Schizosaccharomyces pombe: one gene and its partners. The protein of the gene in region 3 interacts with the protein of the main gene of each other region in a biochemical or structural test. Each region holds a gene or a part of one and is shown on either strand. Other genes may lie near its edges.

What was found.
Region 1: the proteins of rad24 (region 3) and clp1 form a complex in vitro, tested with the Schizosaccharomyces pombe proteins (one study listed by BioGRID).
Region 2: the proteins of rad24 (region 3) and cdc25 form a complex in vitro, tested with the Schizosaccharomyces pombe proteins (2 studies listed by BioGRID).
Region 4: the proteins of rad24 (region 3) and cdc11 form a complex in vitro, tested with the Schizosaccharomyces pombe proteins (one study listed by BioGRID).

Annotation. Positions count from the first base shown.
Region 1 is NC_003424.3:4,769,434-4,773,491, forward strand, and holds clp1 (Cdc14 family protein phosphatase Clp1), read right to left. Parts: upstream 2,284-4,058; 5' UTR 2,227-2,283; coding exon 2,178-2,226; exon of another isoform or gene 2,123-2,177; coding exon 558-2,122; downstream 1-557. Other genes in the region: exonuclease Rex3, read right to left, coding at 1-96; box H/ACA snoRNP complex subunit Nhp2, read right to left, coding at 3,249-3,713. UniProt on the Schizosaccharomyces pombe protein: Protein phosphatase which antagonizes mitotic cyclin-dependent kinase cdc2, the inactivation of which is essential for exit from mitosis. To access its substrates, is released from nucleolar sequestration during mitosis.
Region 2 is NC_003424.3:478,690-484,269, forward strand, and holds cdc25 (protein tyrosine phosphatase (M phase inducer) Cdc25), read right to left. Parts: upstream 3,685-5,580; 5' UTR 3,597-3,684; exon of another isoform or gene 3,497-3,596; 5' UTR 2,852-3,496; coding exon 1,061-2,851; 3' UTR 539-1,060; downstream 1-538. Other genes in the region: DNA replication pre-initiation complex subunit Sld3, read right to left, coding at 1-7; hxk1 (hexokinase 1), read right to left, coding at 4,758-5,580.
Region 3 is NC_003424.3:3,382,529-3,386,208, reverse strand, and holds rad24 (14-3-3 protein Rad24), read right to left. Parts: upstream 1,983-3,680; 5' UTR 1,942-1,982; coding exon 1,872-1,941; exon of another isoform or gene 1,673-1,871; intron 1,465-1,672; coding exon 722-1,464; 3' UTR 524-721; downstream 1-523. Other genes in the region: inv2 (beta-fructofuranosidase), read right to left, coding at 1-162; RecA family ATPase Dmc1, read right to left, coding at 2,805-3,680. UniProt on the Schizosaccharomyces pombe protein: Acts in cell cycle and stress checkpoint signaling by sequestering signal transducers regulated by the checkpoints. Required for the DNA damage checkpoint that ensures that DNA damage is repaired before mitosis is attempted.
Region 4 is NC_003421.2:2,048,573-2,054,177, reverse strand, and holds cdc11 (SIN component scaffold protein cdc11), read left to right. Parts: upstream 1-1,574; 5' UTR 1,575-1,625; coding exon 1,626-4,763; 3' UTR 4,764-5,048; downstream 5,049-5,605. Other genes in the region: serine/threonine protein phosphatase PP6 catalytic subunit Ppe1, read right to left, coding at 1-560; protein mug33, read right to left, coding at 5,232-5,605. UniProt on the Schizosaccharomyces pombe protein: Essential for the onset of septum formation. Involved in the organization of astral microtubules during mitosis. Acts as a bridge between sid4 and the other SIN proteins mediating their association with the spindle pole body (SPB).

The DNA of each region.
Region 1 (4,058 bases), 1.4 Mb from region 3:
GTCATGACTAAAGAAACAATTCCTAGACTGACATTTGCGTCCAGTTCGTAGAAATGGACAAACTATGTGCTTAAACTGACCCAAAGGTGAAAACATTGAAGCAAATTAGGTACAACAAGTAGGCAGATTTCCGTTGGGAATTTAGATAAAAATTCTCAAGCAAAATATAATAAAATGTACCGCTACGAACAAAGATACCATGCACCCGCGAAAGAACCTCTTCAGCCAAAAATAGAATGGCGAAATCTTGAAATTCGTAATAAAAAACAAAGACTTTTTATATCATAACCAAAACAATTTCTCGATTAAAATCATTAACCATGGCTTGCAAAAAGCCAAAGTTTTTTCCAAAGAAATATGAATGTTAGTTAACAAAAAGGATAGCTAAGACATTAATGGTGGTGATCCCCACCGCGCAAAGGTGCGCTAAATCAGGGAATATTTGTAAAGTTAATTAATGAAAAATTATGCAGGGTTGACACAGTATAATTCAAAGTTAGTTTATATGAAAAAAAGGAATGTAAAAACTGCCATTTAAACCAGTAATTACAGGTTTATTAAGAAATTAGCCGGCTTTTAGAAGGCTTAGGTTTAGCAACACGGCCATTAGAAGTATTGTTAAGTGATGACATGCTAACACTTCGCTGAGCACTTTTTTTAGAATGACTAGACCCACTAGACCACCTATTTCCACTTGTACGTCGAATTGGACTACCAGTTGGTGAGGATGTCGGAGAACGAACTCCATTTGGTTCGATATTGCTTTGACTTGATGAGCGACGCAAGCGAACCACTGAAATTGTTTCAGTTGGAGTTCCAACAGTCCGTGTTTCATCATCATTTTGTATTTCTGAATCTTCGTAACTACTGTATGACGCTTTGTTCTCATTTTGGATTGATTGCTTGGAAGCATTTTTAAGTTTCTCATTAAATTTGACAGAGGACGCTGAAGGGAGACGTCTCGCCGACGGTGGATTATGTCCAGAAACTTTTCTCGGTTGGCCAGGCGTTGGTTCTGGAAGAGGAGTACTGATATTGCTTTGAGAGGTACCATTCGTAGCATTCAATGGATGGCGAGGAGGAGTAGCTAAGGGTTCCGCAGCGGTGGCCTGTTGGATTGCTCTTCCCATCGCCTTTTCGTAAAAATATGCACGGAAATGAACTTGATTAATATGTAACCAATGCTGTTGTGGACCTACAACCATTCCAGGACGCATTATTCTCATGTAAGCAATAACTTCATTAGCAGTAAAACAATGTTTGTATATTAAATATGCGCCAATTAAGCATCCAGTACGTCCGAGCCCTGCTTTGCAATGAACAGCAATCACACCGTCTTCTTCTACTTCCTCGGTAAGGTCAATAAACTCTTTGACAAGAGAAAGCTCTGGAACTGTGCCATCCTCAAAATACATCTCTTTATGTCGAATTCCAACATTTTCAAAAGTCTTTTTATCGTAAAGAGGTCCATTAAGCCTAACTATCAGTTTGACCTTATTAGCGACGAAATAATCGAGAACTATCGCAAACGGTTGAGGAAGTTTCTTTGGACGTGTGCTCGCATGATTCCAACCAGCCTGAATAGGACTTGCAAATGCTATAAACTTAGGAGATATCCAATTAAAATCTCCATTCTCCACTCTTTCATAAGTTTCATAGTCATGAACATCGATATTACGTATATTTAGTATGCTGCTCTCTCGTGCTCTCCACAGTCCGTAAACACAATCTTGAATCGTGATATAGTAATCTGAAACAGCATATCCCGCATCTCTAAACCCCAAAAAAGGAGGTTCTGCCTGAGCTAAAGGGGCTAATGCGAGATGTGGAGGCCAGTTTTGTACTAACACCATGTAGCAAGCTAACAAACAAGCGGCATTTGCACGCAACCTTGTATCTGTAGAAGAATATAAAACTATAGCCTTGCTTTTCTTAGCTTGTCTGTGTTTTCCCATGATACCATGAACTATCACTGCAAATCTAATAAGATGACTCACGTTCAGCGGACCAAAGTCATGATAAAAAGGGTTGTAGATCAATTCATCATCGATAGTAAAAAAATGCATATGAGGATATAACTCGGCTTTAGGTGGTTGCGACAATGATGTGTAGTATAACTTGTCTATTTAACATGTTAATCAATTTTACGAGATATTTGAGTTAAACTTCATGCATACCCTCCAAAAACTCAATCATTTCACCAAGCCCATCATCTTGGTAATCCATCAGACAAGTAATTGCGAATCTCGTCTATATTCGTCAAACCCGTAATGGTTGAGTTCTAAATTGTGTACCTGGGTGTTGGTGGTCCTTGTAAATAGAAGGGATGATAATGCACAAGAAAATATGTGGGGTGCGAAACAAATGAAGACAAAAGTGGATTCTAAACTATACACAACGTTATGTTGACATTTAATCTTTTCTCTTTATTAAAAAAAAAAAGACATTAACTTTTAGCAACACTATAGTAAATAAACAACAATAATCATTATCTTACAAAGTAAGTAAAAATGCACATCAATTTATGATAAACATACAGAATACTTTTTGCTCATACAAATACAACCCAACTTTTTTATCTGAAATTCGATTTGTTTTAGCAAATATATTTAAATCCGATAACAAAATCCGGATAGATAACCATATAATTGCCGGACCTTTAAAGCTACCCTAATCTATCATTTATGGATAGCACTGGAAAGCATAATATTTGTAAACATTATAATGGTAAGAACGACGTTGGGTGAAATTTAAGTTAGTTGTAAACTGGTTCTAACACGCCGCCTCTGAATACTAAATAGCAACCTAAACGAATAATAAAACTTTTTTGCGCAACTAGTTAGAAATAAACACAGGCTAAATCCGTAATGAAACGATCAGCGTAAACGAAATTTGAGGAAAAATCAGTTGATATTTCATCGCTGTTACAGCGATATACCATTCTCATATAAGTTGGTAAATGATACGATATTATTGCTAACAAAGTTTTGGAGGTATAGTGATTAGTTTGCTCGCAAACCAGTCTAAACCCATAAAATACTAGGGCATAAGAAAGAATGATAAAACACTAGATTAAAAAGGAAATTTTTTGAAACCTTAAAACCGACCATTAAGCAAAACTTCTTTTCGCTTACTATCAAGCAAACAGACATGATATACCAAAAGTTAAATCCCAGGATAAATACCAAATTTTAATAGTATATAATAATCTACATTAAATGGCTAAGCATCTTTTAGATATTGAACAATTAAACTTCAAGAGCAGGTACTTCTTTTATAATTTCCTCGTAGCTTTCCTTGTACTCCTCAACTTTAGACATGTCCTTCTTTTTTCCACCGGGAACAATCATAACACAGCTAGTAGGTCTCTTGGTGTTTGATGCTTCACCAAGCAACTCTTTGGAAACAGTATATAAGTAAGGGACATTATTGTCTTCACATAATACTGGAATATGAGATATAACATCCATGGGAGAAATATCACCAGCAAGAATTACAAGACCCTTCTCTCCTTTTCTAACAGCCTTTACAACCTCTTTGACCCCACGAAGGATGTGTTTCTGCTTCGAAGCCTTCTTGACAGTCTTCATCATTTTTTTGTTCAATTTTTTAGGAGCTAAAGGCTTAGCAATTGGCATTAAAGCAGGAAGATATGAATCATACTCATCTTCGGTGCTTCCACTATGCTTATGGTCTTTTTTATCTTTTGCCATGATAAAGAAATGGAGAAGGATAAGTTTGGAAGCCCAAAAGATGATCCCAATAAAACTTTTTTCAGTAACGCTATGTAGCGGATAATAGTCTGTTAAGCCATCTGTATAATACGTAATTTTAAGATACCAGCTTTGGTAATATTCCTTAAATTGACATAATGCCTACTATTCCACGAACGGAGTATTGGAAAAATTTACTGTAAATAGATGTTGCTGTCTTCCCTACTTAAAGATACTATTTTAAACTCCCTGACTAGTCCTAAGATTATATAATCATTTGTATTTATTTAGACAACCGAAACAGCACTTAAAAAGGCCAAATCAACTAAATGAACTAAGCGCTCA
Region 2 (5,580 bases), 2.9 Mb from region 3:
TATTCATAAAGATACCAAAATCTTTAAATTAGTGTACCTAAAAAGATTTGTTTGTTTGAACATTAAGTGCTCTGCAAACTTTCATACTTAAACAATTCGTTATTTATGATTACGAGGTTTATCCTACAATGTATTAAATACAATCGTTGGCGTTCAAAGCTGCACTTCATAGGGCGTTGATGTCATAATCAATAAAATTCATATAAGCGAATTTAAGGTTGACTTAGATGACGACATTCTGATTGTTGCAAATAAAAAGTAAACAAAACAAAATCTACAAATATCTTCAAATTTTAAAAAAGCACACATATGATTCACTTTCTCAACGGAACATGTTTAAATTTTTACCAAAAAAGTAGTATTGATTAAAAATTTTCGTAATTTTTTTTTTGGGAAGGTACTTAAGTGTGAATGTCCAACTTCCGCATTGTAACTATTTTATATCACATAAAACTTCGTAACTCTCTGGTGAACTTAACCTTCCATTGGAAAGGGTAAGCTACAATACTACCGCTTACAGAACATGCATAAAAGGAAGTGATTTAAAAATAAAAGTTTTATTCGTTTTCTACTTAAATATTTCCATCAGAGATGGTTAGGTAGAGTTACAAAAACGTAAGCAACTCAGTTCCTATCGCATTACTGCTTCAATCAAAGAATGCTAAATTCTTAGCATTCCTATCAACAGCAATTGCGAGAAGAGCAATTAGAATGGACTTCGGTACGTATGTTTACCCGTGATTGCTTAGAAATTATTAAGCTCAATTGATTATAAAATAATCAATTATTAAACCAAAATCCATGCGTAATAATAATAACCAAACTAGTCGTTCTAGATATTTAGTCGTAAAAGTGATGTACTTCGAAAAGTTTAGCCAGTTTAAATTTTTTGTTGTCGAGACCTTTTAAAAGGTATATTGCTTTCTTTCAATAATAATAATAAAAAATAGAAATAAAAGGTTTCATGATTCAAAGTTTATAGAAAAAACTTAGGTTTAGAAAGTTGAATATATAAGAGTATACTTCAGGCTAGGTAAAGTATTGAGTCAGCCTAAAATCATTAAAATCTTCTAAGTGTAGAGAGGGAATGCATGGCAGTAGGAGAATCATTAACGTCTGGGGAAGCTAACACACTTTGGCCAAAAGTATAACTTTTAGTACGCATAAAAGTAGCGTTTCGTTTGAAATTATTCATAGCCTTGGTGCAGGTCATAACATGCGAAGCATCGTTCATCGGAACGTAGTTAATTGGGTCACAACGGTTTTTGTGGTTTTCGTAAAACGACTTGTAACCACCATGAAGTATATAAACCTCGGGATAGTAAAGGAAAGGATAACGATGACTATTCATTCGTCTGTCGGTATTTCGAAAGTGCAATGCCAAATGAGGTGCTCTGTGCGCACTATGTTCACAATGAAAAACAAGTGCAACCCGATGAGTAAGAGGTTTACTTAAAAAGGCATCCACAATAGCTTGTTTCGTATTTAAATTCACAGCAGTGCTAATATGGCCCCCAAGGTATTCATATTCAAAACGGCAATCAATAATGATGCATTTGTCAAAAATATCCTTAAATTTACCATCTAATAGACCGAGCAATGTTTCTTGGGTAATTCGTTTCAATGAGTCCTCCTTCACGGCGAAGCAAGGAAGAGATAAATCCTCGACATGAGAAGAGATGAAGCGCTCACTTTCTTTGGTCGATTGTTTTGGCGTAACGCACACAAGATCTTGGCTTTTGAAAAGCCCTAGTCTTGTGGAATTGAGAAACATGCTTTGGGTACGACGAAGCACTGGTGTATCTTGCTCATCATATTCCGCATCTTCTTGCATAGCGAATGCCATCGGAGAAGGGGACCTAACTTTCAAGCTAGGAAAGGCAATATCTTTATTTATCTTGGGTAACATATCAATAGGTTTAATGGGTGAAGCTTGAAAAAGATCATCTAAAGAATTATCATTGCAAGCACCAAAATCACTGTTGGGACGTTGAATAGAGGCAGCGTCTTCAACAAGTTCAACAGAGCTTTCTGGTAAATCAGCAACCTTGCCCATCGTAAATGTATCCTCATGATCAGACATTAATTCGAAATCATCCGTATCATCAGTAAGACAACTTTCAAGTAAGCTGGTCGTGTTGCTCGACTGACTACAGGTACGGGATAAGGCATAAGTCAAATGGCGGGTAGCTTGTCCACCAGAAGTTCCCTTCTTTTTGTTAATGGAATATGAGGAACTCGATCTGGATCGCAAAAATGGGGGTGCGTTGCCTGATGATCGAGAACGTGAGACGTTAGGACGAAGGTAGGAATCAAAAGAAGAACTCGATAATGACGAACGAGTAGCTTCGCTTTTGGTGGTGTTTAATGCGATTGATGCTTTAGGCTTAAAGCTGTAAGCAATAGTGCTGGAAACACGTGGGGAATCTTGGGTAATGGAATACTTCGATGCAGGTTGCCGGAAGAAGTAGGACTCGGTTAAAGCGTCATTCGAGGGTGACTCCGGGAGAGGTGAAACAATAGTCTTGTTAGCGAGAGGGGTTTCTACAGTACAAGAAAGAGATCGAAAGAGCGTACGACGAGGAGTCGGTAAGGCAGGGCTTTCATCGATATGCATGTTCATTGACATATCAGCAGCTAAGGAAGATGCAGGTGAAGCTGTCGAACAAGTTTTTCCAAAAGGATCCACTAATGTTGAGGCAATGTGTTTGGATTTCGGGAAGAAAAAATCCAGCTCTTGATTTGCATTGCGATCCGACATCAACTTTAATTCACGGGCAGCAGGACGCAATACATTCCGTTTGCCAGATAGAGTGTTGGTAAAGGAAAGTGAAGAAAGCGGAGAATCCATTTTAGTTGAGGTTTAACTATTATTAAAAGCAGACAAAATGGTAAATTTAATTTAAACCAAGTACACTGCAAAAAGAACTAATGGGACGACACGACTGCAAAAGATTGAGTTTCAGAATGAGAAATCAATAGAGCAAGTAAGATAAATTATAAAGGAAAATCCTAGGGAAGAGTCAAAAGACCGGTTTAAGATATTAATGCCAAAGTGAGACAAAAAGAAAACTAAAAGAAAGACAGGATGAAAGCAATATAGCCAAATATTAAACAAAACCAACCTTTACAAAAGAAACCGGAAAGAAGTTTAAGTAAGTTTAGACTCCACACGACGGGAAGACCGAATAAAAGTATATAAAAAAAAAGAGATTAATGAGACAAAAATAGATGAGCACCAACGGTCACGACTATAATATAGAATATAAAAGATACTGTCGTTGAAAGAAAAAATGAAAGAAAAAAGAAAGTTAAAAGAAAGCAGTTGATTAATATGAAAACAACAGAATACCCAAAAGTTCAGACTCAAAGTTCGTTACAAGTAATAAACCCCCCACTTTACCATATAAAGGCTTCTTGAACAAATAACTTCAAGAATCCTATTAATTGCCTTAAAAAGCGTAAGCAATTGTATTATAGACGTTTCAAAAAATCACTGAACCAGCAGTTAGTACTTGAGAAGCATCAACAGGAATCCAACTTGAGGAGAGAAGGATGCCCGAAACTAACAGGCATCAAGTTCTTTTTAAACTTACAACTTTGGTATTCTTAAGAATAATATTTTCAATGTAATACACTTGATCTAAAGGAGAAGAGCTTGAAGCGCTGTAGATAGTTGAGGGTAGAGAGAAATCTCAGCTCTGCCTCCGAGAGGAAAAAAAAGCAAAGGTAACAACAACAATAAAACACCAACCAACAAATTCGAGTAACAGAAAACAATAATAAAAACAAATACATGATTAAAGCAAAGTTAAACTGTAAGCTGTAATACTTAGCCAACACCTCAGCCATGACAACTATTGTTGTATAGTTTAGTTGCGTAGATAATGCCGTTTCAAGCTACAATATGTCACCTCTTAATCTATTAATTATATAAAAGCAAATAATCATTTCATTAACAACATTGAACTAGATGAAAACACATAAATTTTTGCATCTTGTATGTTTGTTTACATGTCCATACATCTCAGCTATTCGATCCACCGCAGTTTGTCTGATTTGTTGCCCTAGCAACGCCAAATGTTGTGTATGTGTAAACAAATACATAAGAACAAACGTCAGGTAACCTGCTTGACAGCCATTAAATCCCCATAATCTCATACCCGCACTCCTGATATGTAACACGAGCAGCGAGATAAAATATGTTATCAGGTGTTAGCGAATAATCGTAACACGATGAATCTCTCTACTTCGGGACTCGGACTGTCATTCCGAATTGGAAAACGAGGGTGTAACTCATTGAAAGTCTCCCGATGTTATGTAGCTATGGGTTGATACCATTATTGTCGTAGTAGGCATATTTCGCAAGATAGTATAGCCAGTTGTCTTGTTAAACTCGGATATCTTCAACAAAGATACCGCTATTATTACACTTCAACATACAAAATATAACAAAACTCTAACCTTTATTTAAAGTATTCTAGCAATCAGAGGCAGATATCGTATCCACAGAAACACTAGAGCAAAAAAGAAAATATTTTATCAGGTGGAGCACCTTTTTGTAAAAACGCCCTGATACGTGATTAGTAGACAAAGAAAAGTGTAACCATAAAAATTGCTGGAACAAATTGTACGCAAAAAGATGGAGTATGAAACAAATAAAAAGTGCAGTATAAAACAGTTTGTCGAACACTTCGTGGAGTTCAGTGACACAAAATCAAATGAGTATCCGTAAAACCTAAAAACAATGAGTGGACTTAATTCTTAAGATGCTCGGCAAGAATATCAGAAGTGAGGGCCTTGCCTTTGGCTTCAAGAGCACTGACCAATGCAGCACCTACGCCACTACCGTCTTCGGCGGGGATGGTAACAACTTTGCTGCCAATTTCCTCACCAAGGATATCCTTAAATGCTTGAGCAAGACGATCCTTAAAACGAGGGTATAAGTTGTAGACACTACCATCAGTACCTACAATCATAGATGGCTTATTCATTTTACGAACAAGGGCGCATACACCACACGCAGAAAGACGGGCAGAACGAGTTCCAATCAATTCGCATGCACGACGAATGAATTGACGCTCTTCTTCGGTGGTCTTGAGACCATAGGTTTCCTCAAATAGGGTTTGAGTTTCATCAAGGTTCTCAAAGGGGTCAACTTCAATAGCGCTGAGCACAGAGGTATCCATGGCCAAGGGGTCACGAATCTTGGTAACGTCCTGACCGTTAAAGAGAGCTCCCTGTTCATAAAGGTCAAGAAGAATACGACGCAAGATATCACCCAAATAGCATCCAGCAATCATTTTCTCGTACGTTTGAAGACCGGGTCTGGGAGACTCTTCATCAATAGCAACATCGTATTTGGTACGAGGAAGGACAACATGCTGGTTGTCAAAATCGCACCATTCACAGTTGATGATCATGTTCATATCTTCAGGGAAGTCATACTTATGAAGCTTAGGAATTTCTGAGAACTTTTCAATGTAACAAGCATTACATCCAGTTCCAAAGATGACACCAATCTCAGTACCTGGGCTGGCATAGTTGGAAGCAACCAATGTACCAGTAGTATCACTCAAA
Region 3 (3,680 bases):
GTTTTTACTCACTGCATGGCCCCAATGTTGATTACCGGCTTGGTTTCCTGTTGGATTCCATTGAAAAAACAAATGCCATTTTCCATTACTGTAAACCAGACCATTGGGATCATTCATAAATCCTTCTGGAGGCGTGAAATGTATGCATGGTCTCACAGGCATCGATTCAAATGTTTACTGTGCGTTTTATATGCAAACTTAAAGCTTTTATATTTAATAATGTTTGAGTATCACTAGAACATACAAATTTTTAAGCTTTGTGTAAAAAGTGGTACATCGGTCGTATGCAAGGAATATTAAGCAATTCGGTGCAAATCAGTCAAAAAGCTCAAATTCAATCCGATAGGCTTAAACATTCTCAATCTACCAACTCTTCAGTTTGAAACTCACATCTATCTAGACTATTGCTTGATTAACTCAACACCCACTTAGCCAAGCAAATCATTACGGGTTGTGTACTCGAAATTAAAATGTCGTCCAACTACTGTATTTTTTACAGCAGCTACCAAATACACACATATACTACGACTGTAAAAAAAAAAGAAATTTAAAGAAAGACAAAAAGAAAAAAAAATTAGAAGAAAATATACGAGAATGTAATGAGACTATTCCATCGTGTAGTACACAAGATCTAAACGAAAAAGAACTCTTAGACAAATAAATTTTTTAAAATTGGTTCATAGTAGTGAAAGTATGGCATCAATCATGAGCAACGAGCTATCTATGCGTCCGCCTTGGGCTCAGCTTCGCCTTCTGGAGCATTGGAAGGAGCGTTTTCTTGAGCTCCCTCGGTGTTACCACCAGCAGCGGCGGCACTGTATTCAGCATCAGAAGTCCATAAGGTAAGGTTGTCACGCAACAATTGCATGATTAAAGTAGAATCTTTGTAGGATTCCTCGGAAAGGCTGTCCAACTCGGAGATAGCTTCATCAAAGGCTTGCTTGGCTAAGTAGCAAGCACGGTCGGGGGAGTTCAAGATCTCATAGTAGAAAACGGAGAAATTAAGAGCAAGACCTAAGCGGATAGGATGAGTAGGTGCAAGTTCGGCGGTAGCAATTTCAGAAGCGGCCTTGTAACCTTCAAGAGATTGATCAGCGGAGTGTTGGCGCTTCTCACCAACGGCAAACTCAGCAAGGTAACGATAGTAGTCACCCTTCATCTTGTAGTAGAAAACCTTGGATTCGGCAGAGGCAGCATTAGGGATAAGGTGCTTCTCAAGAACGGTCAAGATATCTTGGCAAATAGTGTCAAGTTCTTGTTCAATCTTTTGACGATATTCCTTAATTAATTCAACTTGAGCAGTATTGCCTTTGCTCTCCTCCTTTTGCTCGATGGAGGAAACGATACGCCAAGACGCCCGGCGAGCTCCAATTACATTCTTATAAGCAACAGAGAGCAAGTTACGCTCTTCGACGGTCAATTCTTGATCAGTGGAGGCAACGCTTTTCATGTTTTCAACCATGCCTGGATATATTAGTGATAAGTACATAAGGATTTCGACTTTCGAGATGCGCAGCATGATGTATTTTCCGTATGTCTGTATGAACAAAAAAATTTCTTCTCGGAGTAAAAACAATTAGAAATAAAGTTAGGAAACAAGTTGAAATACTAAAACACCTTTTCAACATCACCATAGCCAATGCACAGTTCATTTGACAACCACCATACAACACACAAACACAAACATTCTACCAACTAAGCCTCTGATCACAACTATGTCAAAAATAAATGCAATCGATGTTTTACAGGAAGCCCGCTTACTCAAAAGCTTCCGCCGATAGAACCTTGGATGTGTGTAATTTTGTTCTTGCAGAAATAACACCAAATATATCTCTGCTCTACGCGTCTCTAAACCTTATAAAAGCACATACCTTCATAGCGCTCGGCTTGCTCAGCAAGTTTGGCTAAATAAACAGCATCTTCACGAGAAGTAGTAGACATTTTTACCAAACGTTCGAAAATGTGAGTATATCGTGGTGGTTGGCACTGGAAAGGTTGCGGAACGTCGTATGGTAGAAAAAGGACTGCTCCCACAGTAAAATTTCGTAGCACTGCGTAAACGTGCCCTGTGCTTCTGTATGTCGAATTTAGCGACTGCGCATCGTAATTTATCGGCACGACAGAAGGTTATCGAAAAACCTGGCTGCTGGACTGTTCTCGTTTGTTGCGACAAAGCCCCGGGGTAAACACATCCTTGGCAACGGATCAAGAGAAACTGTACCCCTTTTGTCATATTGACGCAAAAGGTAAACATCGAAAGGAAGGTGCCTGAACACGTGCAAATCTGCAGGCCTTCATAGAATCGGGAAATAAACTGGAACAAAGGTGATGACGAATTCTGTCTCACACGATATAATTGTTTGGTGGAAGTCAGATTGTCCAACGATTGCAATGAAAGGCGCTCAGCTTTTGTTAATTGATACATGCGATAGCAACTTCACATGACACTACTTAAACAAATTTGTTGACTCGTAAGAATAAGTTGCTTTTGGGGGTTTGCGCCATTCGCAACTATTTGATAAATGTGTAGTTAAGAAAATCTTGGTTTGGTTATCTAAAATGGCGCGAGCTTCTCATCCAAACTTTTTCTTTAAAGCCATTTTAGAGACCAATAGTGAACTGATTATTGTATTAAAGATATAGTATTGCAGCAGTAAAATGTTAACATTAACGTAATCAGTGCACTCAATTTTGTTAAAACATAAGCACAAACGCAATGATAAAAGGCATTGCTGAACTTGGCTGATCTTTTTTCTTATTTCTCTTCTTTTTTTGTTTTTTTTTTGGAATAGGTAGAAAATCAATTAGGAAACGTCTGCTATGCCACCAGGTGTAATCACATAACTGCACTCGGCTTCAGGCATATCTGGAGAATCATTCAATTTTGCGACACGTTCCTCACCTCGACCTTTTCTTAACAGCAGACGGGTCGCGCTTGCGTGAGCCATGACATGGCCTCCTACAGGTTTTCGATCGTTGGACGCAAACATCATTGCTGCTCCGGGGTCTGCTTGAACCTGATTTGTGACAAAGACCGCTACGTTAAACTCTTCAGAAATATGATTTAATCTAGCAAGCATAATGTTTAATTTTTGTTGCCTTTCTGATAATTCCCCGCGACCCGAATAGTCAACCCGAAATAGTGCCATGATGGAATCGACAATTAACAAACGGTATTGGCCATCTTCAGCAAAAATGGTTCCTAATTTTGTGATGTATTCCATTTGTTGCTCAGAGTTGTATGCTCTACTGACAATGATATTCTCCATAGCCTGATCGGCGTCTACACCAAATCGTTCTGCAATGGCTTTGATTCGATCAGGTCGAAATGTTCCTTCTGTATCTATGAATGCTACTTTTCCTTCGGCCCCGCCCATATCTCGAGGAAGCTGGGCAGTGACACACAATGTATGCGACATTTGTGTTTTACCACAACGAAACTCTCCAAATACTTCTGTAATACTCATCGACTGAATTCCCCCTCCAAGGATGCCATTGAGTGCCTCGGATCCTGTCGAAATACTCCATACTTTTTTACGATTTTGACTGATTTCCATCGCAGTGGAAAAGTTTGCTGGGCACATTTTTGATGCCGCTTCCTTCAGTTTATCCACTTTGGCTTCGCTGAAACCTTTGATTTTAAGGAGAAATCTCTTTGTGGACATATGGACTCCTTGCAC
Region 4 (5,605 bases), on a different chromosome or scaffold from region 3:
CCTTCATGGGGAATTTCTTGAGCACGCGCAAGAATACGAATCTGATCCAATGTGCGAACTTCCGGAGATAATCCACCATGCACGCATAAAATTTTGTTATCGATAACCGCTGCCAAAGTCAAAAAATCAAAAACTTGGCAACAATATTTCCAAACATTTGCATTTCCATATTTGGTTTGACACTCATCATAAAACCCGTAGACTTGAGTGATCTGGCGACTTTCGTGATTACCACGAAGCAATGTAATTTTATCTGGGTACCTTGCTTTCAAAAGCATAAATAACGTAAAAGTTTCTAAGCTAAAATAACCTCGATCCACAAAATCACCCATAAATATATAATTTGTGCTTGGCAATTCTCCACCTACTCGAAACAGTTCCAAAAGGTCGTAAAACTGACCATGTATATCACCACAAACAGTAACGGGAGTCCGCACAGGCTGGATATTGGACTCCTCCATTAAAATAACTTTTACCATCTCACACAATCGTTTCAACTGGTGTTCTGGAAGATATTTACACTTCCTTACTGTAGCGATCCATTCATCCAAGTCAAACATCGTTGTAGCACAAATTATTCAAGGATCTCTTCTAGATTATTAAACACAGTTATTTCTCAATACTTTCCTATTTAGAAATTGGCTTCCTAATTAAATATGTTGTTTGCGGAGAGTACGTAAGTTAGTACGTTGAATACTTAAGAGGGGTGTTTAACGTATTGTAACGATTAACGGCGTACCAAGTCTTTATCAGATATGGATGTTTGGTACATTCAAAAGTCGTATGAAAAAGTCTACATGTGGAAATGACCTTTTATATACAAATTTATATAGTCCGCTGATTAAATTGGGATGTCGTCGAACACATTTTATCCTTATTGCTAACGTCAAATTTTGTTGCAAATTTTCTTAAATTACCGAGGTGGGATTGCTTTAAATTATAAATACTTGTAGAGTTTTAAACGATTGAAAGTCTAGGTCATGAGGCGAAGATGAGAGAGTAGCATAACGAGAAACGTTGTCTGTAGAACGACAATAAAAGTGTCGTTTCCATAACCTTTAAATATAGTAAGCGAATTTAGGATCAGTTCGAAGATTGTTGCAAGCGTAGATCCAACTTGTGAAAAACTTGCTTACTAAAGAGCTTTCAAAGTCATGAAGAATATATGATATCTTGTTGATATAAATGGCATCTCCGTCGTCAAGTATGCGAAACCGTAGGCAAAAGAAAAATCGTACAGAGAAGGTTACCGAAGCAATTGCTATTAATTGTTTTTTATCGAGTCTTCCGAGTTAACAGAATAAAGTGAATCTCTCATGCACAAGTTTATCAACTCTTAGAACTACTTATAGCTTTGATTTTTTCCTCAAATACTTATGGCCATAATTTTCCTTCTGAATAAATAAATTTACTGGAATTCAACGTAACAAACAAAATAACGCTATACCCTTATTGTGGAAAATATCGTAAAATATGATAAGCAGCATTACGAATACGCTTGAATATCCTATGTCAAATTGTGCAAAAGGGTGATTGAGTCCCAGTACCACGACATCCCGTCGCGTCTCATAGACGTAAACAAAACTTCTTTTTTCTATGGAAGGTATGTGTGCTTTTCAGAAATCATGGAACAGTTATGGCTTGAACATGATTTAAGTGAAGAATGGATTCCGCAGCCACAAGAACAAGGGTCAGACAATTCTAGTGAACCACCAACCACATCAAATGTAAACAATACTCAATCTACAGGTCGTGGTAGTTCAGGAACTTCGACAGAGCATGGAACGTTTAAGAAAGGAAGAAATGATGCTCCGGATGTTCCTCAATGGAAACAGGTGAATGCAAAGAACCCTGTTGCTCGTGATATTTTTGCAAGGTTGGATTTGGAAAATATGTTTGAAGAAAGCAGCAAACAAAGCCCCCCTTCAAAGTCTCCAACAAAAAATCCGTCCAAAAAGTCCAGTAATAACTCTTCTAGGCGTAGTTCTTCTTCAGTTGGTAAACTATCTAATGTATCGAACATGCAATCTTCTCCTTCTAAAGATCCTTTCGTTTCACAGGATTACGAAAAAGAATCTATCTCCTCTTCTCAGTTTAGCAAAAAATACTCAGAAGGAAGCTTGAAAAGTCAACAATCTAATACCAGGTCTAACTCGGTTCACGAAAAGCAAAATACGGACCATGCTAGCAATGCATCGTCATCCTCATCCGTTGTTTCTTCTCCCTCCTTGAAGCCCAATAATACATCCCCCCTTAAACTTTTCCAAGGAGCTAGTGATCCGTTTACTCGTGAGCATTTGAATCAATTAACTCAAGATGTAAAGTCCAATTCATTTGAAAATGGGGAAAAACAATTTTCACTCCCTGAACCACGAAGACCACAAAAACCTATGCGTACAACTGAACGAAAGGCTAGCCTCAATACCAAAGATCTCTATCAAGAGGTTGAAGAAGTCATGGCAAGATTGCGAGGAAGAATGCCTAATTCGGGACGAGAATCTACAATTTTTCTTCCTCGAAAGCTCAGCGGACTTCGTGAGGAGGAGGAACAAGATGAAATTTCAGTTGAAGTAAGTCAAGAAGATAGCTCTAATGCATTTCCCTCCTTAAGTGATCAACTTCATTTAAAAAGTCTTCAAAGTATGAAAAGGGTTACCTCAATTTTCAATGATAATGATGATTCCTTTCCATCCGCATCTTCCTCCCCTCAACGCCAGGCATATATGACCGATAAAATGCCACTTCGGGAAATTGATGTTGGCTCTTCACAATCCTCTTCCAAGACTGCCCGATTAAATAGCTCTCCCAAATCAACGCTAAAAACTTCCAGTGTTAAAACCAGAAGAAGTCACTCTGCTCAAAGCTCAAGAAAAGTGTCTGATTATCCCAATATGGTGGTTATAACGCCAGCAGATCTTCCTGAAGGCATAGATACAACTCAAGGCTCCATGGAATTTGACAGGATACACAATCGGTGGCGGAGAAAAGGTCATGATTCAGACTTGGGCTTTGATTTTGAAACCGACGAAGATGCTAGTCTTTCGCATCCTGAGCGTACAATACTGTTTAAAGCGGCATCCACCAGACATCAAGCGAACAATGATCCAAACAATTTGGAGAAGCAACAACCTCATTCCTTTCCTTTGCGTAAGCAAAATGTTGCTCAATCCGAATTTCCTAAGCATTCATTAAGAGACAATAGCGAAAACGCTCCGCAAATTTTATCTTCCTTTCACGATTTATCCTTACAAAATGAGAGCTTTGATGAAATGTTTAATGGCAGGTATGAAAATGGGTCACCAATTCCTTTTATTTCTTCAGGTTCTGGATTGAAAAGTAAAGCCGACAAAGATGCTGAATATAGTTTTTCAGTATCTCGTCAATCCATAATTCAAATTCTTTCTGATGTTGAACCATATGAGCCTTTCTGGAAAAGGATTATACAATTAGACATCAGTAGACGACATTTGGATTCCTTGATTGGACTTTCTGAACTCTGTCCCTCTATTGAAGAGCTCACGTTGGAAGGAAATGAAATTGCTTACTTAACAGGATGCCCCGTTACGATAAGAGACCTGAATGCTGTTGAAAATCGATTGTCAAGTTTGACTTCATTTTCCAACCTATTAAACCTACAATATCTGGACATATCATATAATCAACTAGAGGACCTTACTGGTCTTTCTTCTCTAATTCACCTTCGTGAGTTGAAAGTTGACAGTAATCATCTATGGAGTTTAGATGGGATTCAACATTTGGATGGATTGCTAAAATTAAGCGCTTGCAATAACAGGATTAAAGAATTGTCATTTACGAATTCCAATCTTCATCGTCTTGAGGAATTGCTCTTGGGAAATAACGAAATAGAAGAAATCGAAGAAATAAGTTCGCTTCAAAACCTTATGGTTTTACAATTGGACAATAACAAACTAACCAACTTGAAAGCTAGCCAACCAATGATTCATTTGCGAATTTTACGCATCAGCAACAACGCCATACATCAACTTGAGGTAGATCAATTTCCTCATTTACGAACTTTATACATGGACCTTAATCGATTTAATCGTCCCCCTGACATCCGTCGACTAAAACGCTTAGTCAATTTTTCGTTCAGGACTCAAGATCCTGAAGCCTCCAATTTTGTCATTCAACCCTCTTTAGATATTCGAAATCTATACCTATCGAATAACACCTTCGTTACTCTTGATTGTAAGCACATGTTTCTGGGAGTGAGGTATCTGGAGCTTGCAAACGTTCAGCTCAAAGAAGTACCTAAATACATTGCGACCAGTATGCCCAATTTACGTGTATTGGACTTATCACATAACTATATATCAGACATAGAGTCGCTGAAACCATTGCAAATGATCCACCGACTTTACTTAGTGGGAAATAGAATCAAAAAGATGCGAAATTTATGTGATATATTGGCAAACCTGAAACAGTTAAACGTACTGGATCTGCGCATGAATCCTCTTAATTTCAACATTTATCCCGTAATTGACGACTCTATTTATGAGCTCTCTGCAGCCTCAAAATACCAACAAAGTATCAACCAAAAAGGTCATCATAGAAAAGAAGACCCGCAAAAGCAATGGCAGGAGAAAGAGCTGGCCTTTAGTTCCACTTTGTCTGAGGCATGGAGAACAAGAAGAAAAATGTATGCTGAAGCTATTTTATTGGCATGTCCACACTTAGAATGGTTGGATGGATCTGATGTTTCACAATCATCTCGCGCTGCATTCACCAAATCATCCAACTAGTATGACTTGTGAAGATATAGCTTGAAACATTTTTACCTTTCAAATAGCAAGATTGTTTCGCTGTTGTGTAAAGGTTAATAATCACAATACATAATACACCATAATACTCGCCATTACCATAGTGTAAATAATAATTCGATTTCTGGATGGCACATACAAAATGAATAAGCATAATGAAACGTGAAGGTCGTCTAAAAATATATATATATTAAAAAAAAAGAAAAAGAACCCTATTGAAAGAATAAAAAATAAAAGAAAACCCCTCCAACTCTTCTTACATTCAACTAGCTTAAAACAGATAAATTCTATTGAGAAACAGTGACATTAAACACACACATATGTACCATATAAGTATCAACTAAATAAAGGAAAAAGGTAAAGGGGGGACGGTTAAAAAATGCTTTGAAAGTGAAATTAGAAAACATGTAGAGATGATAAATGATAGATAAAACTCGATTGGTCGATAATTTACGAGCGGCCCCATGAAAATCTGCTGGGCTTCTTGTCGTTATTGGCTTGAACATCATTAATCGACCATGGATTTGGAGCTGGAGCTGAAGCGGGATCTTTAAAGGGATTTTCAGGATCTCTAAACGGATTTTCAGGAGCCTGTTCTGCAGGCTTATTGCGCATAAACGGAAAGCGGAAGCCCGAGTTAGATTTCGGAACGGGAACGGGCTCACGAACAGTTGGGGCATAGGAAGACAGAGAACGACTATCGTTGCTAAAAGTAGGCTTCAATTTTGAGACAGAGCCTCCACGCTTGAGACCATCATCCTCGGAAATGGTATCGTACATAGGCTTTTCGGCAGAATAATCGCTGAATTTGGGAAGGTCTCCCT